Linked DNA regions of Arabidopsis thaliana. The protein of the gene in region 2 interacts with the protein of the main gene of each other region in a pairwise test. Each region holds a gene or a part of one and is shown on either strand. Other genes may lie near its edges. The genes, in order: AT2G42490, AT1G13520, PFK7 and BCA4.

Region 1 (6,768 bases), on a different chromosome or scaffold from region 2:
CCAGTGTTTTTCTTTGGGTTTTAGCTAAGATTTTTAGGCTATATGAATTGCATTTGGTTTGGACTATATGTTATCTGTGTGGAATCGAATCAAAATTATCAATCTGGTTCGTCGGAGTTGGATCAATTGTGGAAGTGACAATTGCTAGTTTGTCGTTTGTGTTTTTAATTTCGGTTCGATTTACATGGTTTTGAAAAATTCAATTGATTTCGGTTGGGTTTGAATTGGAATTAAAGGAGAAAAACACTGAAATCACGCACTCGAGGCTTTTTTAAAAAAGAGCGAGTGTGTTTCAAAACAAGCCATTTGGTGGGTTAGAACCCTCAGAAAACGTAGACACGCCCTCAACACGCGATTAGTGAGAGTGGGTGTGAAATCACGTAAAAGGTGAGAATGGGGTATGACATGGAGCGCTCTGATTGGCTTATAAAATGAAAATAGTAGAGATGTTGCTCCTCTCTTCCAATGTTTATATTTATTTGCTTCTCTTTTCCAAAGTATGAAACTAATGCAATTCATAGAAGAACACACACACCAAACACGAAAATAAAAGATTCAAATATGAAATTTTAATAGAAATATTCCAATGACAAAGGTCTTTTTAGTCTTGCAAACACACACACCAAACACGAAAATAAAAGATTCAAATATGAAATTGTTCTTAACCAACAGCAACGCCTCCAATTTTTTAAGAGATCAAAGAAAGAAAACAAATGATATTCATATTCTTCAAAGCTTTGAAAGTAAACCAGTCTGAAGAGCTTTCGGTGCTACAACCTCTTTGACTTCACTCTCCTTAGTCTCCAATTCGCATGGATTCGGTGGCACATCTACTGCCGGTGAGCAGTTGAAAAATCCATGTGGCTGTATTTTACCCAAAACCCAAAACATTTTTTAACCAATCCTTTGTAAGGTTTTTTTTCCATTGAAAGTTACAGTCAAAGATTTAACTTACCATTAGTGTGAAACCAATATGTTCGACGGGCATAACCGGCCAATCTTCAAGTCTAGGAACATGTGTGATCCCAAACACGTACCTGGTGACAAATGAAAATTCCACATTGAAAGTCACATAATTTGGTAAGTAGTAGTTTTTAACTGAATCAGATAAGTAAAACAAGGATACAGACCAAAGAACGACGTCAGATTCTTCCAAGGAGCGATTCTGTTTCACCCATGTGGCAAGACCTTCACCAGCCCGTGGGTTTTGGTTTGGGAATTCTCCTCCAGGAAACTTCTCGTCTGGGGCGTAACGGGTAACCCAGAGATTATGCTTCAGGAAAGCGGCTCTTCTTAGAAACTTCGCCTCGGGTCGAGCTAATGGCAAACAATTTGAACCCGGAACAAGTTTGTATCCCGTTAATTGGCCCGTCCTGTTTACAGTCCTTGTGTTCCTTACCTGATAACACATTACAATGATTTGTGTTGAATATACATCTTGCGTGAGTATACCATCTATACTTCAGCTACAAATCATATTCAATGAAACTCTGAGATGATTTTTTGGTAAAGGAACTCAAGTATGAGACTATATAAACACATGACTGAAACTTAGGGATGCTCAGGTGATCTCTTATCCCAAATCCAGTCTCAAGGATGAGACTAGTAGATAGTCAAGGATGAAAGAAATATAAACAAGGATATTACAGAGACGGGTACGAGCACTGACAATGTGAAAGTTAAACATGCAATAAATGGACGAGAACATGCAAGGTACGGTTTTTGCTTACAATCCAATGGCGAGCAGAAAGAGGGTCACAGTCACGCATCGCCACTGCCTCAGATTTAAGTAACTTCTCTTCCGCATAAAACGCATTGTTGTGGACATTGTTCTCACCTCGCTCGTCAACTCTAACATTTACCTCAACTACCTACAGATAAAAGTGGATTAAGCTGACTATTGAGCAAAACCAGCTGACAACATGTATCTAAGATTTTTTTTCAAGAACTATAGGGACTTCTAAAATTCATATGCTACCAATGCCATTCCTAAATACTGAGAAAATAATCCGCATATGTAAGTAAATAACAAGAAGAAGAGCAGCATCATAAAAAGGTACCTGATTAAAAGCTTCAGCAGGTTTACAGTCAACAGACATATCCATGCGAGCGATAAAGAAATGTTGATGGACTGGTGCATACAACCCAGGAGCAATAGTAGTACCGTACTTTCGAGTTTCACCTGGCTGCAGAGCTCCTAAACTGAGGATACCAGTAAGTTTTACTTCAGCTTCGATTTTCCCATCCTACAGTAAGACATTCAAGACATAAAATGATATTGGTCTTCAAATATCTAGAAAGATGAAACTACAAATCAGAAAACAAATGAAACTCGGATTCAGCACTGTAAATCAATGTCCTCAAGTGAAAAATCACAAGCAAAGTGCCACTAAACTCAGGATTTATTCTCATGCGGAGACACATCATTTGTCTTCCCTATAGAAATTAGATGCAAATATGACTAATATCTGCTTTACTCAAGAAATGAAGAATCACGTATTCCACTAACCTGGTAGAAGTGCCAGTAAAACCCATACTCGTAGTTGGCAACAGTACATAGAAAAGAGACAGTTAGTCTCCTAGATCTTCGCACTTCGGCTAATCCTGTTCTCCAGTCCTGATGTTTCCACAAAATCCCATGATCTTCTTCATGCAAGCAAACACAGTTCTCAATTGTTTCAACTCCTCCAGTGAAATTTGTGAAATGGGCATCGAAGTACTTGATAGATCCCAGACAGTCACACCCCTATAAAAACCGATTGTTAAACACAAACTGAGATCTGAGTGGTAAGAACACCAAAAAAAAAACTGATGTCAAACCTTCTTAAGCGAATGTGCGTTTTTCCCGAGACCATCCTCCCCTGCATCAAAAGCATTTTTCCTGTAATGTGGCTCATTAGGATCGCCATAAGGCACAACCATTTCCACAAAACTTAGCCTGTGTGCAACAGGCCTTCGACCTCGACTGCCATCAACATATGCTACCGAATGTATGACTAAACCTTCCCTTGGAGTGAATCCAATACGAAAGTTCCACTGTAAACAAAATGTTGAGCCAATTTAGAAATAAGCTTAAGCATAATCACTTGGTTTCAAGTAGGCTATTACTGGAAATCTACCTTCTGCCACTCGACAAAGTAACCCCTTACACGAAAACTTGGACCTTCAGGCTGAATAATCTGGAGAGGCTTAACATCACTTCTATCAACACCCCCTCTACTTTCACCTGGGGTATAATTCCTCAAAGGGTCAGGTGGGGGGAGTGGCACAAACTTACGGTCTTCAAATTCAATCACCACCATGTTTTGCATGTCTACAAGTACATAAATGCCCTCAACTGGACGAGCATATCCATTTTCCATAGGGGAATCACTATCAGTCCGACAGTATATAAGGGGCTTTGCAAGCCTACGACTAGGAGCGTCAGCCTCACTGTGATAACCCACACACCTGCACAATACATTAAGAGGTAGGCTCAGAGAAGAAGTACACCTTAATTGTCAACAGAAACGATGATGTTGTTAACATACCAGGGATCAACCATCACTAGATCCATGTCTTCAATACCTCTCCTCTTCATTGCCTCTATGAATGGTGGGAAGTCTTTGACAATCGCTTCACATTCAGCATATTCAGCCGCATCCTAAAATCAAAAGAATCTAAACTTAGAGACTGGCAAACAACGGTAGCATCTAAAAGTCACTTAGAGATCCAATTCCTTAAAACATAGTTTAACATACCATGGGTGGCTGAACATCAGGTATAACTTGTGAGGAAACAACTCTTCCCCTGTGATGTCCACCCCGAGTGACAGCATGAACTTCAGACAATGCCACAATCCATACACTTGTCTCATTAGACTTTTGGTTGTAAACAACAAGTCTAGCTCGCCTTGGAGGGAGCTTCATCGGAATCACAGGTCCAGATTTAGTTCTTGGAAGTAGTGATGGCTGGAACGGTGGGAAAAAGTAAGCATCAGCGAGCGCCACAACTTGTTTATCTGGTTCCACTGATGCCACCTCAATGAAACGCATGCCATCCCTAACCTGCCAAAGAAAAAGTAAAACAGTTTCAGTGACAATGTTATCAAGCATTCTGCATTTGTCAAGAATCAAGTAAGTTTGCGCACCTCAGGATTGGCACCAGCTGCGCGAACAGTCGCCACAGCAACTGATATTTCTGCAGCAGAAAGAGGATCCAATGGGTGCTTGGTTTCAGTCCTTGGCATCACAGAAATCCCTGCATTGGTGATCACAACAGAAAATCAACTTCACAGAAACCACAATAGTGATCACAATTAGATCTCAATCAGAAGCCATCAAGTAGACAAGAACCAATTTCACAAAAAGTAACCATCATCAACAAATTCCAGTAAACAAGAAGTCAAGTAATTCAAACGAATCGCGAGCTAACATCAGAAGAATGAAGGACGATCAACGATCAAATCAAACCTTTGTTGGCAGGTTTCTTGGCAGTATTATCAGGAAACGAATCGACAGGGCGGATAACGGATTCCAAAGAAACTTTAGAGGCTCGCTGATCGTCAGCGTCGGACCATACAGCAACGGTATCGGGAGCAGCGGAGACGAGTTTGGGAGGCGGAAGAGAGCCACCGTGGTGAGGACATGCCGACGTCTTTTTCGAAGCTGAGGCCATTGAATAGGGTTCACAAGTTCTCCAAATCCACCAAAATCAGTTTCAACACAATCCACTGACATACAGCAAAACCTATCACTATCCGTCGCTTGATCTTCCCCCTTCTCTCCACTTCTAGAAGCTCCAAGAAGAAGAAGAAGAAGAAGATTCCGATCTCCGATGATGACACAAAAATCCACAGCTACTACTACTAGTACAGTCTTCTCTCTCTCGACTTGAGCTCCGTCACAAGAAGTTGGATTCGTCACCGGATCTTGAGTTCTCCGTGATCGTATAATCGCTCTTCAATTTGTTTGTTTTTTTAAAGAGTTTGATTTTTGTTGGAGAGTCCAAGCAGAAGCGGCCAAAGCCTTATTTGTGGGCTCTCCTACTTTTTAACAAGTACCTATTTATATTTTTTTTTAAAGGTCTAATTATTTGTTTTAGAAAGAAATCCAACTTGGATAACGACGTGGATGCACTATTGTTCATGAGTTTCTCAATTTGTAATTTACTATTTGGAAATATATATTATATGTGTCTAATTAGAGTCAAACATATTTTCCATTTGAATTTTTTAAGTACTAAATATATAAAACTGGAAATTAAAATATAGGTAAGGAAAATATTGGAAGTTCTTATCTAAGGAGTTTTAACAAAGGTAAAGTATATAGGATGATGGAAATAGAAAAATATGACAATTGACAGACTACATAAGGTTATATGTCACTATCCGAAAATTTATTTCAAAATAAAAAAATTGGGAAAAAATTAACCAAAAAAAAATGAAACATATATGTTTTGTTAAATAAGTTTGACGTGTTTCACCAAAATTCTACACGCATAATTATTATTCTTATCAGGTTTATGCTGTTATTGGACACTACATTGTTTTAAGAAGTAAGCAGAATGGAACATAGCCAAAAAAAAAACATGAATACAACCAAAATAGTCTTATTAACTTGAGTTTGAGGTGTTTCACCAAAACTTGGAGACAATTGATATGATATATACTTTTAGAGCAGTATATTAATTATTAGATCCTGACAGATATTATAGAAAATATGTATGAAAACAAAAAAAAACGAATTGGTGTCGTTTATGTTTTATCACATAAAAATCACAAGAAGCTTATAAAATTACAAAAGTTACTAATCAAAGTGTTTTGATATGTTATGGTTTTAAGATTGTAAAATACAAATATAGTGCATGATATATAAATATATGTATATAGTTGTAATAATTAGATCGTGGAGTGGACCGCATAATCCATGCAATATCGACCACCAAAGAACCGCTGTCTACAACTAGTGGTATTACGAGGCTCACATTATTTATGAAATTCACGAAATTAAAAACTCTTCATTCGTCCATGACTCCATAATCTAGTTTAGCCTTACATAGTCCATGACTCCATATTCTGTCATCACAGTTTATATATTATTGTCTTCGGTGCGAAAACACGTCATGTTAACGTAGACTATTGAATTACACTTTGTTTTCTAGTCTTTGGTTTGTTTTGTTTCTTGTGAAACCTTCAATAGTAGGCAAAACGTTTAGAATTCCAATATAAACTGTTCTCTTTTGATGAATGAATACATAAGATTTTGGTCTATCACATTGTTCTCAACTATATTGTTCATTGTTTTTTTATGTTTTTTGGCTAAGAACTATATTGTTCTTTGTTGTTAAGCAAATGTATTACTTATCTTATTATTTCTTAGATATCTTTTGTCATTACTATGGATTTGCCTTTGTATGCCTTGTTGCGTTTGGTAAAGATCAAACTCATACTCTCTGGTTTTGTTCAGTTACTGATAGAAACAAGCACCAATTCTTGATTGACCAAAGAAAAGTCCCGAGAAAGTAGAATGTGTTCCCTTTACAACAACCTTTAACCTTCTACTTCCCACAGCTACTTTGTATTTAGACTGGATTACGACTCTATACATTAAAACACTTGTCTATCCAGCTCAGCACCAACTCAGGAGCTTTCTCATTGAGCTCTTCATTTAGAGGTCTATCAATTTGCTCCTTCCAGTCTGCACTGAGTCTCAATGTTGTTCTTTATTTATCTCATTCTCAATGCAATAGCCATGAGTACAACAAAGCCTTCAATGCCGTTAGATTGCA
Region 2 (4,034 bases):
ATATAGTTGTGGTAGAGAAGCAACAAGAATCCTACAAGACAAGACTCAAATCACTAGAAAAAATAATCTCACTAGCGGCTCAATCAACATTGTTTTTTAAGACTTTTCCGAGATCTTTGACTTAGCTTTTATGGAAGTCCTTTTTGGCAGTTTTTAAATTCACATCACATTGTTTTTAAATTCTATCACGTAACTTAAGTTTTTATCTACTTTGAGTTCCAAATTATGACCATTAACTTCATAATTGTTCATTTGAGCAATCTGCAGAACAGAGGTTTTGTATTGAAACAGAGCCCCCAAAAAACAGAACTTGAAGCAGAATTTAAGAGACATCATAAAATTAAATAAATTATGGAGATATGAGAATCAAATTGGAAAAGCTCTCAATCTCACTTTCTCTTCAACTTATAAACATGTCTAAACTCGTATGTGAAGACTTTTAAATTGGTAGTAGAATCAAAACACGTTATCAGCAACTTTCAAAGAACTTGATTTATATTAAAAAAATGGAGGGCCATAGTTGTTGGAATGAGGGTTACAAGTTTACAATATTAAAAAAAAAACATTTAAGAAGAATGATCAAATAAATGATTCATAATTGAAATTTACGTGAATTTAAATGCGAACTTTTTTTTTTTTTTAATTACTACATGAAATTGCATAAAACTTATTCATTAAATTAATTATTGAACCAAAAGATGACACACAAAGAAACTGAACAAAGATGAATAAAAAACTCAATCCCACTTGCTCTTTAACTTATCAACATGCGTAAACTCATATGTCAACACCAAACTCCCATCCATTCTCTTCAATTCGAAGCTCTCTATCAATACCAAACATCGATAACTCTTCCAATGCGATGACCCGCCTTCAAATCTCTCTGATCTCTTAATGTTAGATCTTTCACCGTTGTTTAACCATCCGAACCTTTCCTCTTCCCATTTCATCCTCTCCACGACAACAGACCCAAGACCTATCTTCTTGTCTTGTCTCTCATCCCCTAAAACACTAAACCAAACAAATCCACCACCACTTGTCTCTCTAGAAATAGTTTCTTGTCCCTCAAGCTTTACCACTTGTGTTTCTACGTCAACATCAACTACAACCTCTCCTCCTTTTTGGTTGTAGTTAACGTTTACGCATGAGTAAACCTCTTCCCATCTTTGTTTAAGCGTCATGCTGTAATAAGGTGAGCTCTTAATCTGATCTTTTGCATCTCTTTCTTTCACAAATATGAAAGGAACATACCATTTCCCTACCACAACACTTGTATTCATATCGTTGGGAAGCTTGGAACGAAGCGTAGTGTTGATCCCTTTTGCATCATCTGTCAAACCAAAGTCTTGGGAATTCGAATACTCAACGGTCCAGTACTTTCTCTTAAGGAACTCTGGTGGTATCCCATTAGGAGCAACTGAAGTGGCAGTGTAATAGCCTGATGATGGTTTACGTTGATGGACCTCGAACTGTTGATATATATCATAAGGATCTGCTTCTTGTGGCTTAACTTCAGGAACATAGCTGAAGCAAAAGCAGCAGGGGACTCTGTCTTCTTCCTTTGCACTCGCCGAAGCTCCTCTGCAATCCAAAATTAGTTTTTTTTTAATGAATACCATTTGTGCAAGTCAGGTCAAAAGGGGTGGCCAATCCGGTCAAACCGAAACCATCCCAAGAAAACCAAACCCAAAAGCAAGTATCTCGAACCATGCATGACATAAATTGATTAAAACCTCAAAAAAACAAAACAAAGTCAAGAAAGTAATTAAGATTTTTGGCCATACCCTGATTGCTTCCCACGTCGTTTAATGACATAATAACGGTTCGAATAATAAGGCTGATCAAGAACCGGAATGAACAGAACCTGGTCATGGTAACTGCGCCTGTCATTACCAGTTCCGGTTCTGTAAGTCACAGTCAGCTTTGCGTTCTGTGGGAACGGTAAGCCTTTGAGTTCACCATCGTAGCAATTTCCAAAGCAACAAGTCGGTTTTGACTCTTCGTCTTGAATCACAAGTACGCCGGAGTTTGGACCTTCCGGCAACGATCGTGTCAAGTCCGACGAGTTTCTCTGGTATTCGGAGAGATGCCTTGTAACATACATCTTGAATTCAGAATCTTGATCAGGTTATTGATTAGAAGAGATATGATATGTTTATATATTGCACCATGTATTGAGGATAACGCGGTAAGCAAATTTTACAAGTTATCGTTTGAAGACTTTTCAAATTTTTTTACTTTATGGTTCAATTCAAACTTTAGAATTCCAAAGTTATGACCTTGACCTGGTTTCACAAACCTATCATGGAGAATCAATCAAACAAATTCTATATTTTCTTTATATTATGATTGACCTAACTATAAGGATCTGCTTCTTGTGACTTAGCTTCAGGAAGAAACTGAAGCAAAAGAAACAGGGGACTCTGTCTTACTCTTTGGCACTAGCTAATGCTTTTCTACAAAATAATTACAAAACTTTTGAGGTTTTTTTCCTTTTAGAGTATACACCCTTTTTGTGCAAGTTAGCTTCACCACATAACACATGAACTTGCATTAACCTTTCAATAAAATGAACACACCATAAATTGAACACATAACACACAAAGAAGCTGAAATAAAGTCAATCCCACTTACTCTTCAACTTATCAACATGTCTAAACTCATACGTCAATACCAAACTCCCATCAGTTTTCTTCAGTTCAAAGGTCTCTACCAGTACATAGCATCTATAACTCTTCCATTGTGGTCCACCGCCTTCAAATTTCTCAGTTCTCTTAATGCTAGACTTTAGTTCATTGCCTTTCTTCGACCACCCAAACCTCTCTTCTTCCCATTTCATCCTCTCCAAGACCACAGACCCAATACCTATCTTCTGAGTCTCTGAGACACCAAACCAGACAACTCCATCTGAATTCACACCTTTTGTCTCTCTTCCAATATTTTCTCCTTCAAGCTTAACCACTTCTGTTTCTACCTCCACATCAACTATAACCTCGCAATTTTTATTGTCAACGTTTTCGCAGAAGAAAACCTCTTCAAATCTTTGGTGAAGTGTCATACTATAATACATCGATTTCTTCATCTGATCTTTAGCATCTCCTTCCTTTACAAACAAAAACGGAACATACCATTTTCCAACTACTACACTCTTACCGAAATCGGGAAGCTCATAGCGCAGCTTTGCATCAACTACACCCTTTGCATCATCAATCAAACCATAGTCTTGGGAAGCAGAGAAAGGAACGGTCCAGCCTTTTCTCCTCAGGAACCGAGGTGGTATTCCATCTGAAGCAACAGATGTAGCGAAAAACTTGCGAGTTGATGAGCCTCTTTGATGTATCTCAAATTGTTGGTATATGTCAAAAGGATCAAGAAGCCTTGGCGTAGCATTAGAGACATAAGTAAAACAAAGGCAACAAGAAACTTTGTCCTCTTCTTTTGCACTAACACATGCTTCTCTGCAATACCAATCAAAGTTTTAAAAGATGTGAATTTAGGCCGCTAAACTATTAATCTTGGCTTAATTAAAACTAAAACGATAAACTTTGATATCTACATAACATGAGAAAGATTCAATAGAATCATACCCTGCATGTTTCCCTCTTCGCCTTATAACGTAGTAAAGATTGGAAGAAGGAGGCTGGTGAAGAACGGGGATGAACGCGACCGAGTCAAGCAAGACAATTCTGTCATCTCCATCTATGGTGAAATCAAAGCTTAGATAATAAACAGAGAAGAAACAGAAACAGAGTAAAGTAAAATGATTGACAGAAAGTTAGGAGTGAAATGACTAGTAACTAACGTCCGATTTGGTATTTAACGGTGACTCTTGTGTTCTGAGGAAACGGCAAACCATTGAGATCACAACCAAAGCATTTGCCAAAACAGCATGTAGGCTGTGATTCTTCGTCTTGAATCACCAATACGCCGGAGTTTGGACCTTCCGTTGGAAGGAAAGTAAGCTCCGATGGGTTTCTCTGGTACTCGGACAAACGCTTTGTTACATACATCTCTCCTTGATTCTTTGTTACTCA
Region 3 (5,535 bases), on a different chromosome or scaffold from region 2:
ATTACTTGTCGTTTAAGCATATTATTGCCCAGTTAATAAAGTTGTATTGTTACATTAGCTAATGTTAATGCTAATGTTGATACAAACGGTAATTGTATCTCGTCTGTCCTATTATAAACTAAAATGATATTTTCTTCTTTCATCTTCTGCTTTAAAAAATTTATTTATTATGGTCTGTCGTATTACACTATTACTTTTTTAACCAAAAAAAAGTATTACACTATTACTGAGATTTTTTTGCAAATTCAGTATCAGACAAATCATTATTAGACCAAGATTTGATCCAAACAAGTTATCAAATTCTCAATTATCAATAATAGAAACCTTCAAGAAAAAAAAAACACTTTTGACTGCATTAAATCATTCAGATTTAGCTTTCTCATTCTTTAAAAGATCAGTTACCAAAAAGAAACTTTTTGAAGTATCTATGTGTGAAAACAATTTAGCTCTCTTGCATCCTATTCTCTTCATTTTGAGTGTGAAAAAACATATACAAGAACAAATATAGGATCAAAGTAACGAAGATTATTACTTCATTCATTTATTCAGTTGTGGAAAATGCAAAAAGGATTACAAAACTAAACATCTAGAAGAAAACTAAAATTTGTGTTTGTGTTGTGTATGCACATACACAAAAGGGCAAATTCGTTAAAATAACAATTATTTCACTTTCGCCTGAAACGGCATCGGTTACAGAACCCTCTGAGTATACATATGCCATTATTATGCCCTGCAACTTCTTCACTTAGTGACCTCTTTAGTCACAGGAGGAATATCGACAGCTCCGTCGTCAAGAAGCGGTGTTTCCGGCAACTCTTTCTTCTCTTCAGATGTATCCTTAGGCCCCAAGAAACTTGGCTGGTTCGTAGAAGACAATAGCCTCGCCCACATTCTATCCGTAATCACTACATTGTTCTGGGTCTCTGTTATCCTCTGCAAGACAAACAAAAAAACAATGACACGATTCAGAATTGCTCACAAGTACACGATCAGATTCAATTCAGGACCATCCCGCACACATTAGATCTGTATTAGTAACTTACGTAGAAAGGGATGTATGTTTGTCTTCCATTGACAAGACCACTGGTGTAGCCAGTGTAACCAGCCATTGCACCATGAACCGCGCTCTGAGCAAGAAGTGTACAGTAAACATTGTCTGATGCATTACTTGGAACAGCCCGGATCATGTATGTAGGATCAATGTATTTGAGATTCATCACCATCTTATTCTTCTTAAAATGATCCTACAACAAGAGGAAATAAACCCTATGAGGAAATTTTCTGTAAAAGGCATAAGAATCTCATGATCTTGAAAGTTTTTAACTCTTACCTTGATGCTTTGTGATAGCCACAAGCCGACATCTTTAAGAAGTTTGTTCCCAGAAGCATCCATAGGAGTAGATTCCATGCTTTTGCACATCAAATCCTGTCCTGCACCCTCAGCAAGAACAATCACCATGTGACCATGATCCTTCAGCCGTCTCTCTATGAACTCAAAGAGTCCACCTTCTCCTTCGAGGTAAAATGGTGACTCGGGAATCAAGCAACAGTCAACATCTCTGCTGGCTAATGTAGCATACATCGCTATGTACCCTGTAGTACAACACCCGCCTAGCATTAGTCAGTAACAAATCGAAAAGGTCTTTTAAGTTGTATGTTTCAAAACAAAGACTTACCGCTGTAACGACCCATAAGCTTGACAAAACCGATACCATTCTCATTACTCTCGGCTTCAACATGTGCTGCGTTAATCGCTCGTTGAGCTTCCTCCACAGCAGTGTCAAACCCAAAAGATTTATCTATCACCGGAATATCATTATCAATAGTTTTTGGAATTCCAACCACAGCAACTTTTAGTCGACGTCTTCTAATTTCCTACATGGTTATATACAATCTAAGTTCAGTTGTTGATTGTTAAAACTTAAAACTTACAACTGTTATTCTGAAATATCACAATGGAATTACCTCAAATATTACTGAAGCACCTCGCTGGGTTCCATCTCCTCCAATAATGTAAACCTAAATGATAACAGATACTACATCAAGAAAAGGTTGACAAACTTTTTCACATACAACGTAAAAAGCAGTGGCTGTGTTTATTCCCTAACCTGATTGATTCCTCGATCTTGAATGCTATCAACTATCTTGTTGGTATCATGTCCACCTCTTGAGGTCCCAATGATTGTTCCTCCGCGTTTATGGATATCATTCACGACTTTAGAGTTTAAGGGGATAGTATTCTTGGCGTAAAATCCTCTGTATCCACCCTATAAGATTTCAACAAATGAGAATCGTTTGGACAATAGTTATGAAATCCAAAATGAAACCGAAGAGATTAATTATGATTCACCAAACTTACATCGATTCCAAGAATTCTCTTTACTCCATACATGTATGATAAGCTGCTCACAACTTCTCTAATCACGGTATTGAGACCGGGACAGAGACCTCCACATGTAACTATACAAGCATGCACTTCGTCAGACTCAAAGTAAACCTTTTGACGTGGACCAGCACGCCTGAAATGGACTCCTCTTGGACCATCCTTGTGAACAACAACCTAAATAACACGAAAATAAAACAGAGGATAGAAAAAGTGAGCCTTTTACTTTTAAAAATCTCACTTTCAACAAGACATGATCATCTAACACCATTCTTCAGACAATTACAGGTAAAAAAGGATTATGCTTGATAAATTACCTTCTCAGGGACACTATCATCAGCATGAACAAAGTATTGCCTGATAAAAAACATCCAAATGAGAACAAAAACTATGAACTTTAAGCAATGGAAACGTCTGAAATAGGTGAAGATACTTACTTAACCACTGAGTAAGCTGGATTGTCTTGCAATGGATTTGGATAAGTCTGCAATAACATCAAAACCACGAATTATCACCATTTTATTAAGAGTAAACCAGAAACAGATCAGAACATTGAAACCCAAAGCTAAAGATTCCTCCTTTGTTAACTAGACGATATCAGATTCGATCTCTTTGTGCAAATCGAGAAATTTTCAAATCAATTTAGAACCAATCAGAGATCAAGTGAAACATACAGGAAGATCAGGAAGGTAATCAATGAGATGAGGAACGTCTTGTAGAATATAACCACCAGGACCGTTGACAATCTTCGGCTTGTTACTTCTCGGACTAGACATAACGCTGACGATCAACAAATCAGATCAAACTCTCTCCACGAAGATGAAATGACAAATCGTGAATCAAACCCGTTGATCCAATATACTTGATAACCCAATTTAGAAGGAGAAAGAACAAATGAGAAGAGGTAAGAGAGAGAGTGAGAGACCAATAGAGACGAAGAAAGTTCTAGCTTTTCGAGATGGGGAATTTGATCGAACAGGTGGTGGGCATTAAAGTATTTGAAGAAAAATTAGTGAAAAGGAGAATAATTTTATATTATATACATACACACATTTACATGTATGTATATGTTAATTGGGTACAAGATTCTCGTGTATATAATATATAAAGCTGACGATCACAGTGGGGAAAAAAACCAACGTTTGAAACTTGGAGAAGATGATTCACATTCTTCTAGAACAAGACTTTATTTTTAAGTTTCCAATTATTGACAACGATTAATTTTGGGCCTTGAAAAACAAGTTCTAAATTTTAAAATGATTTTTTTTCTTTTTGGATTTTTTTGTGTGATATTTTCAGTATTTCAGATCTTTAGGAATATTCGGGTGAAAATCTTTTAAAGAGAGAAAGACAAATCCAATTTTGTTGTGTCGGCTAATCACTATTTTTTATGTTTTGTGTGTTAGTTTAATAAGTTTTCATTGATTTGCCGATTCTTTTGTTGTCAAGAAACTATTGCTGGTTACAAAGAGGTAACAAGATATAATAATTTTAAAAATGAAAATCAGAGTTGACAAAAAGTTATTAGTTCATAATGCTATCAGATGACATACTTGCTTAGTCGTTTTACATCTTTAAAACAATATATATGTGAAATATGTAACTGTATGATTCTTCATAATGTACTAAAATAATGCGTATTTGCCTGTCAATTCTCGAATCTGAATTAAAGTAGTAATAAAGTTGCATTAAATCTGGTCGTTGTTTTTACTGTTTCTTTAATACTATGACTCTCGCTAATGTCCCGAAAAAAAAAAAAAAAATAAAAAAAAATCCATATAACCCAAATATTAAATATTTTTTTTTTCGTAAATTAAACGTTACATAGTTTTTGGCTTTTTGCCATAAGAAAATAAATGTATTTAGTTTGCAGATGGATATGAAATTAATCCATCTCCTGCATAAGTACCCGTGAGTCCCATAAGGCTAATAGGACATAACGTATTGCATATACGTACCTACTCAGTCGGATATAAAATCAAATTTCTGAAATACGAATGAAGCTAATTGGATCTTTGCCAAAGCCCAATATTCAGTTACAGGTTGATAAATGGGTCATGCAGTGACCCAATAGTTGATTTAATAAAGGCCATGCACTGGCTAAGTTTTACAAGCAAAAGTTGAAAAAATACCATTTCGTTTCGAGTATAATGGACAACACCACACTAGTTTGAGTCATAATGTTTGAATCTTGATGGATATTTTAAAGACTTCTAGGCTCTTAATCATTAACAAGACAATATGAATATTTGCTGAATACTCGATTAATCCAAATATAATGGTTTGTTTACTTACTTACTACACACCATGGATAATGCTCTTATCAACTATAGTATGTATACTTGTGTTTTCGTAGCAGACTAATTTTTTTATTTTTTTAATAATAAAACTGAATAAGCACATTATCATACTCTTATCAATTTTTTCAGCTGATATCTATGTTTATTCTAGTCTCAGACGGTACTCTTATCTCCAGTAGATTTCTGACCTTTTTTCGTTTTTCATCTTTTCAAAGGAGAAGAAAAAATGCAAAACCTAATATAATCATTTAGATCAAATAAATGATGACCGTTTGATCTGTTGTTCAAACAAATCTGCGGCTAGGCCCCATCTCCCGACATCATCATTGGACCCACACCAGTGTAGGACCATTGGGTTCAAATCCCACAAGAATATGTTACATATTTCAAATAATGTGAAAGAAAGCAAAAAAGAAAAAGATTCTTAAAAACATGTGTTTGCCCTATAATCCAAAGAGATTATCCTTAAATGCTTTGTTTCCTATGTTCTTTTCCTGCGTTCTTTATTTTAAAAATATTGATAATCTTCTCCTAAATTAATCCGTAATTATGTTCAAAAACATTCAGAAGGTCAGAGAAGGTACCAGGTTTTATACTATTAAAATGGATGTACAAACAAATATTTATTTCAAACAAAAGAGCGAGATTCAACAGTTAATTAAAGCACAAGATTATTAAATAAAATCTTTAAAATTAGATTTTTATCTTTTTGATAAAAAGAAAGCCTTACATTTTTTACAGCTTGACTCCAACTAAAACTTATAAATATCTCACAATTCGTAATTTCCTTATATTGCTCAAAAAAAGTTGACATGGTCTGATATGTCTCATTTAGCTGAGTAATACTAATTT
Region 4 (6,933 bases), about 22 Mb from region 2:
AATCGTACGGTGGAGCAAGCATCACCAGAGACTTGTCGGAAAAGTAACTCAACAGGGTTCTCAAAGCTATGGAGATTTAGAGATCTTGTTTTGAGAAGTAACAGTGATGGAAAAGATGCGTTTGTGTTTTTAAGCAACGGCTCTTCATCTACATCGTCGACGTCGTCTACGGCGGCGAGATTGAGTGGTGTGGTGAAGTCGTCGGAGAAAGGGAAAGAGAAAACGAAGACGGATAAGAAGAAGGATAAGATGAGAACGAAATCGGCACATGAGAAATTGTATATGAGAAACAGAGCAATGAGAGAAGAAGGGAAACGAAGATCGTATCTTCCGTATAAACATGTTGGGTTCTTCACTAATGTTAATGGTTTAACCAGAAATGTTCATCCCTATTGATTAAACCGATCTGTCGTACCAAAATCTCTACCGACAAATCTTTGCCTTTTGTATATATCTAACCTTTTTTTTGGTTTCTGTGTATTATAAAACCTTCTTTTTGTAAGTAAAAGTGAAACTTTACTTATTAACTTTTCGTTTGTATCATTTGATTAGTTTTTTTTCTTCTTTGATGTAAAGTATTTTTTGATTTTGAAAGTAGTAGAGAAAAGATTCATCGATCTTTTTTGGAATTTAAGTTTGTCAATAATATATTTTGGTATATCAAAATTTGTCCGCACGTTAATTTTTTTATTTTTTTTATTTTGAAAGTAGGAATTAATTTTTTACTGGAATAAAGTAAAACTTGTTCTTTTAGGCAATATATTATCTCTATCTAATTGATTAACGATGGCCGCAGATATGTAAACACACATTTTTAGAGATGGCTATAAATGATTTCCTGAGGCATTTATTTTTGATAGCTTAGTTTTTACAACTTCTGTTTACCGACACTATTAAGTTAGGTATCAAATTATTTAAACATAGTAAAAGTACAAACCTGTATTGGTAGTGACAAGTGACAACACATTACACATTATACATCACACCAAACTCAATATGCCTCCTAATACAAGAGTACATACAGCTATAGCTTTAAAAGTGCTTATATTATATGTAAGAGGGCCAGATAAATATTTGGGCCAAAGTAAGAATGATAGGCCTATAATTCGGGTCCAGGTGACTAACACCATTCAGAAATAGTCATGCCCCATTCATCATCGAAAGGTATTTGAAGTCAAGTGAGAGTTTATGCTGATGAATGGGGCATGAATTGAAACATCAAGCCCAAGAAAAAGTACTGGTTGTGAAAATTAGCAATTTTGGTTGTTTTAAATCTAATAGCCCATTACATGAAAATTTGTAGTGTCGCTAAAGTTATCTTTGGTTTGGGTTGTTTTAAATCTAATAGTCCATTACATGAATGAGAGGTGCAACTTGCAAGCCCTATTAACGGCTAGTCATGAAATTACAACATTACCATAAATTTATGCTATCCTGATCTGAATTTATATAGTCTAATTTTCGAAGCGAAACAGATTTCAGGTCTTGGATAATAATTTCATCACTACTTCGTTCATACATTAGTTTAGATCCAAAAGATATACAAAATTTATATAATTAGTAGAACTGTTGACAAATAATTATTAAAAGTAATAAATGGTCTGTTATAGAAATTTGATTTTAACTTTTGTTATATTAGTGAATTTACTTTAAATAGTAGAACAAGTTATAATAAATATGAAAGCATATAAAAAGAATAAAATCTCATGAGATTATCTTCTAGCATAGTTTTAGTGTTTTCTCATAATGTCAATAAATATTTACAGGTCTTATTATGATTTTTACTAAATAAACAGCAGAAACAAATAAAAAGAAAAAACATGGAAGAAGAAGAAGAAGAAGAAGTCCAGCTTCACTCACCTTTCGCTTTCTCTATCCCATAACAGAAACCCCCACATTGCTCGAACGGTCGTCATAATTCCTTGAAACCTCGAAAATCCAAAAACCCATATCCAATCTTCTTCCCATATAAATTAAGATTTTTATTTATTTATTTGTTTACTTATTTCAATTCCCAAAATCCTCTGCCTCATCATCTTCAAACTGTTACCACGTCCATAGGGTTGTCGAAGAGCTAGGAAGAGCCTTACCAAGAGCTTCTTCTTCCCCTAACATTTAGGTATTTCATTCGTAATTTATCTTCTTTTTAATTTAATTATTGTCGATTACCAAAACCCTTTTTTATACTAAAAAACTGAATCCATTTTTCCACACTAAAAGGAGAACACAAAAACTTCATTTCAAGTTCATGTTTGAAAAACTAAGAAGTGTATGGTTTGTTTGTTGACAATTAATGAGCATTTTTTTCCCAAAATACGTTAGAACTTAATATGATAGAATAAAACTTGAATTATTCATGGCAATGAGTATAGTCATATACAATAATGGTTGATGGAAATGAACCTTACGGTCCAATGAAAAGCCAGCTTGCGTTACTTGAGCATTTTTAAGCCCCAAAAAAGTTTGAAAATATGTATAAAGGAATATTTTATATATGGAACTAAAGAGTCAGAGAACCATTCCGGATTTAGATCATCCATCTATTTTAATTTGTTGTGATTCAGCCATCGCATTATTAGTCTTCAGAATATAATAAAATTATAATTCAGTTATGAATTTAATAAATTGAATGCCGACGTGAGTAGTTAATAATGTAGTCGATTGTAAGTAACAATGAGAAAACTCCTATACTTTATTTTTAGATGTATTTGTAATAATAAGATTACGGGTTTGGACTGGACAGGTTGGTAGGAGAAGCAAAGGAAGAGATCATTTATAATGGCTCCTGCATTCGGAAAATGTTTCATGTTCTGCTGCGCTAAAACCTCCCCGGTAAGTCCCAGCAACAACTCAAATTTGCTTATGAGAAAAATACTCAAGCTATTTTTGAAACTTCGAGAGGATTATTAGATTATAGTATGTATATAAAGTGACGAAATGTATATAGAGAAAGTAATAATTAAGTAAACTGGTGACGCGTAGATGCCAACTGGCAAGTCCGTTAAAAACATGACCGTGTCAGCCTGTAAGGCTTGCCTTGGTTGACTTATCCTGCTTTGTCATTGGCCACCGGCCTATCGGAAAAGACGCAGACCAATTTGCCTTCACCAAAATAAAAATTACTACTTACTACCATATGCTTTTTGCCCTGCGTTTACTTTTCAAGTCGAGATCATTTATTTGGTCAAATGAGGTAGAAAAAAACTATTCTAGTCAATGTAGACATTCGAATGAAATTTGCATTTATAAAAAAAATGTACTTGGAAATTCAAATGGGTTTATAATTTCATTTTAATCAGTACCGAGACATACAGCCACATGCTTAATTATTCCTCCTCAATCAAAACCATTTCACCCCAAAATTTTAAAATAGTTTTATCAAATCACCATCCCACAAAAAGATTTTTTAATATAATATAAACCTTCCCATTTTTGTGGAGTTTCTTTTTTTTTTCCCTTGTAAAAAAGAAAATGTAAGAGTAGAACCAAATGGCATAATAGAGCTCTAGGCCTATAAATACCAATATCCATCTCTACTACTACTGCATTAACTGATTTCACATTCTTCGATAAGGATTTTACTCTCCAGAGAAAGAAAAAAAAAACCTCCTCTGCTTTTGTGATCCTTTAAGGTTTCTCTCATCAGATCCAATTTTCATGTTTCAACATCGTCAAATTTCACCGATTAAAATTACTTGTTGTTGTTTGTATTCATTAGGAAAAAGACGAAATGGCAACGGAATCGTACGAAGCCGCCATTAAAGGACTCAATGATCTTCTCAGGTACACACTCTCTCTGACTCATAGTACCATCATTAGAAAGTGTCGGCATATTCCTCTTTTTTTTCCTCCCACAATTTCTCCATAATCAACGCCAAAATCAAAGCGTTGAATCGGAAAAAAAAATCAGAGTTTTTTGTTTTCTTTTGATTTGCGCGTTTGTGTTTTCTTCATGACCAAACATTTTGGAATCCGTACACGTACGACAGATCCTGACCGTTGGATCAACTTACCTTGGGAAAAAAGTTTCACATTTCCGCGTTTTTTTTACAGTACGAAAGCGGATCTCGGAAACGTCGCCGCCGCGAAGATCAAAGCGTTGACGGCGGAGCTAAAGGAGCTTGACTCAAGCAATTCAGACGCAATTGAACGAATCAAGACCGGTTTTACTCAATTCAAAACCGAGAAATATTTGTAAGTATTTAAATTACTAAACTTTTTAACGTTATTTAAGGAAAAGAATATAATTAAATTCGTTTTTGTTCTGTAAAGAAGAATTTTCATGACGGTGGAGTGGTCCATTAATGATAAACCTACCTTTATTTTTTCTTATTCACTTAGCATTACTGTTTTTATTCATGTGATAGTGCTAAAAAAAGGTGATTAAAAGCTAATTAAATTGTATTAAGAAGGTATATTCCAATTAGTATATGCAATAACAGAAACATAAAAAGGTGGTTTTTTAAAAAGAAATTCTGAATTTTTTTTAAGGTTGATTCATGGATTTTGATGAAATCTCTCTGTTCATAATTTTTTTCAGGAAGAATAGTACTTTGTTCAATCATCTTGCCAAGACTCAGACCCCAAAGGTTTTAGCTTTTCTCAAATCTCTCTCTTTTTCTCTGTTCATTTACTTATTTTCTTCTTTGACTAATACCTAAAAAATAGGTTAATACGAACAAAAGAGTGTGACAAGCTTTTTAATAATCCAACGATGATGTTTGACTTTATGAATTAGCAAAAACAATTATTGGAACCAAAGATGGTCCACTTTCTTATTATAGAGTTAATGAATTTGAAAATGATGTTGATTTTTTTTTTTTGATTATGGCAGTTTCTGGTGTTTGCTTGCTCTGATTCTCGAGTTTGTCCATCTCACATCTTGAATTTCCAACCTGGTGAGGCTTTTGTTGTCAGAAACATAGCCAATATGGTTCCACCTTTTGACCAGGTTCATTACCAAGCCATTTCACTCTTGTTCTTGTCTGAGATCAAATAACTAACACCAAAGTGGTTTTGATAATTTATCAGAAGAGACACTCTGGAGTTGGCGCCGCCGTTGAATACGCAGTTGTACATCTCAAGGTACATGAACAAAATATACCTATTTTTAAGGATAGACACTTAGATTGAATTAATAAATAAGCAAACTTTGTTAGTATTCTTATAAGTTATCACTTATCAGTAATCATCCAAAGTTTGGCTCTTTTCATAGTGCTCATTATTTTAAGTCGTTGTTATGCATTTTTGCTTGCACATGGTTCTTACTAAAAGTTGATGTCTAGTCACTCTGTTATTTGGACCCATTTCATCCACCTAAACCCTGTTCTCCTTTTCCTTTTAGCCACTAGGATTATCTTTTTTGAATCATTTTTGGATAATGTTCGATATTAGAAATGGGTCTTAATGCATCAACTTGCAACTACTTTTTTATTCAGAGTCAACAGTTCACTTTTTTTAATAGTATCAATTTATTTGTAGGTGGAGAACATTTTGGTGATAGGCCATAGCTGCTGTGGTGGTATTAAGGGACTCATGTCCATTGAAGATGATGCTGCCCCAACTCAAAGGTAATTACTAACTCATTAATCTTGATTTAGCCTGAGTTGTGAATCAAGATTGTTCGATATATGACTTTCTTGTGGGATAAGTTTGAGTCTTTGAGATGATAAGATTAATCGATCTCTAACACGATGGAAATCCTCTAAACAATGGCAGTGACTTCATTGAAAATTGGGTGAAGATAGGCGCATCAGCGAGGAACAAGATCAAGGAGGAACATAAAGACTTGAGCTACGATGATCAATGCAACAAGTGTGAGAAGGTAATAATAACTATCTTTGCTCTGTTTACTTATGTTCTTGAGAAATGGCTTATCAATAAATGTGTTATCTTGTGCAGGAAGCTGTGAACGTATCGCTTGGAAACTTGCTTTCGTACCCATTCGTGAGAGCTGAGGTGGTGAAGAACACACTTGCAATAAGAGGAGGTCACTACAATTTCGTCAAAGGAACGTTTGATCTCTGGGAGCTCGATTTCAAGACCACTCCTGCTTTTGCCTTCTCTTAAGAAAGAAAGCTACCGGAACATATAAAACTCTTTTGAGATAAAAAAAGACACTTTGACTCATCTTTCTTCATTCTCTCATGTTGATGATTCCTCTCCAACTTCTTTGATTTCTTTTTGTTAATTCAAAACTTCAACTTTGCTGCTTCTATTTCAAAAGCTCAAACAATAAAGCTGTAACCAACGTTTGAAACTTCTATATTTGTCTAATTGATGTTTGAACGAAGATTTGAACTTTCCTTCTTTCTCTCTTTTTCCAGATTATATGTGTATGTTAATTGTTAAAACTTCTTGGCATTGAAGCCATTGATCATTACAATTTTATTACATAAAAACTTCTATACGGTATCATTGTCCCATCTATTACCTAGAACGAAATTGTAGTGACTATTCGTTTTAGATTAGCTTCTTTTTTTTGTTGTTGCAAAAAAAATTATTAACTTTTTGCTATTTAAAAGTAGTTGATTTAGAATTTTCTTTATATAAATGTATTTATCAAAATAAGTAAAGGAACTCAAAAGAGTAACTATTGTAAATAGAATATTTCTAGAAAAGTAATAGTAAGATGATATGATTCCTAAACGGGAATTTGCAGAGGCCCATTTACCAAGTTAAATACGAAAAGGCCCACCTAAATTGGCCCAATTGTGATTGCCGACTTATTGACTTCTCTATATATTAGGGATTTGCCGAACGATGATGATTTCTATTTCCATTTAATCTAACTGCAAGAGAATCACTAAACTTTTGCGTTCCAAATTGAAGAAGCTACGGTAAGCGTTTCATTAACCAAACACCTCTCTGAAGTTGTCTATTTCATTCATTAATCGTAGTTTCTTCACCAGTTGTTTTGATATGCCATTGTCT

The links.
Region 1: the proteins of AT1G13520 (region 2) and AT2G42490 interact in a two-hybrid assay, tested with the Arabidopsis thaliana proteins (one large-scale study listed by BioGRID).
Region 3: the proteins of AT1G13520 (region 2) and PFK7 interact in a two-hybrid assay, tested with the Arabidopsis thaliana proteins (one large-scale study listed by BioGRID).
Region 4: the proteins of AT1G13520 (region 2) and BCA4 interact in a two-hybrid assay, tested with the Arabidopsis thaliana proteins (one large-scale study listed by BioGRID).

Annotation. Positions count from the first base shown.
Region 1 is NC_003071.7:17,690,871-17,697,638, forward strand, and holds AT2G42490 (Copper amine oxidase family protein), read right to left. Parts: upstream 5,154-6,768; 5' UTR 4,657-5,153; coding exon 4,452-4,656; intron 4,240-4,451; coding exon 4,130-4,239; intron 4,047-4,129; coding exon 3,741-4,046; intron 3,644-3,740; coding exon 3,531-3,643; intron 3,451-3,530; coding exon 3,120-3,450; intron 3,037-3,119; coding exon 2,821-3,036; intron 2,747-2,820; coding exon 2,510-2,746; intron 2,247-2,509; coding exon 2,061-2,246; intron 1,872-2,060; coding exon 1,731-1,871; intron 1,400-1,730; coding exon 1,131-1,399; intron 1,038-1,130; coding exon 956-1,037; intron 865-955; coding exon 730-864; 3' UTR 537-729; downstream 1-536.
Region 2 is NC_003070.9:4,631,120-4,635,153, forward strand, and holds AT1G13520 (hypothetical protein (DUF1262)), read right to left. Parts: upstream 2,181-4,034; 5' UTR 2,105-2,180; coding exon 1,785-2,104; intron 1,582-1,784; coding exon 738-1,581; 3' UTR 514-737; downstream 1-513. Other genes in the region: AT1G13530 (hypothetical protein (DUF1262)), read right to left, coding at 2,621-3,458, 3,588-3,699, 3,803-4,010.
Region 3 is NC_003076.8:22,921,935-22,927,469, reverse strand, and holds PFK7 (phosphofructokinase 7), read right to left. Parts: upstream 3,667-5,535; 5' UTR 3,160-3,666; coding exon 3,058-3,159; intron 2,868-3,057; coding exon 2,821-2,867; intron 2,741-2,820; coding exon 2,701-2,740; intron 2,561-2,700; coding exon 2,360-2,560; intron 2,268-2,359; coding exon 2,109-2,267; intron 2,020-2,108; coding exon 1,966-2,019; intron 1,876-1,965; coding exon 1,677-1,875; intron 1,594-1,676; coding exon 1,331-1,593; intron 1,245-1,330; coding exon 1,044-1,244; intron 934-1,043; coding exon 742-933; 3' UTR 507-741; downstream 1-506. UniProt on the Arabidopsis thaliana protein: Catalyzes the phosphorylation of D-fructose 6-phosphate to fructose 1,6-bisphosphate by ATP, the first committing step of glycolysis.
Region 4 is NC_003070.9:26,533,303-26,540,235, reverse strand, and holds BCA4 (beta carbonic anhydrase 4), read left to right. Parts: upstream 1-1,798; 5' UTR 1,799-2,119; intron 2,120-2,743; 5' UTR 2,744-2,778; coding exon 2,779-2,832; exon of another isoform or gene 2,833-3,718; coding exon 3,719-3,783; intron 3,784-4,053; coding exon 4,054-4,194; intron 4,195-4,540; coding exon 4,541-4,589; intron 4,590-4,834; coding exon 4,835-4,951; intron 4,952-5,031; coding exon 5,032-5,085; intron 5,086-5,481; coding exon 5,482-5,570; intron 5,571-5,718; coding exon 5,719-5,824; intron 5,825-5,901; coding exon 5,902-6,069; 3' UTR 6,070-6,412; downstream 6,413-6,933. Other genes in the region: AT1G70420 (DNA ligase-like protein, putative (DUF1645)), read left to right, coding at 1-396. UniProt on the Arabidopsis thaliana protein: Reversible hydration of carbon dioxide. Together with BCA1, involved in the CO(2) signaling pathway which controls gas-exchange between plants and the atmosphere by modulating stomatal development and movements. Promotes water use efficiency.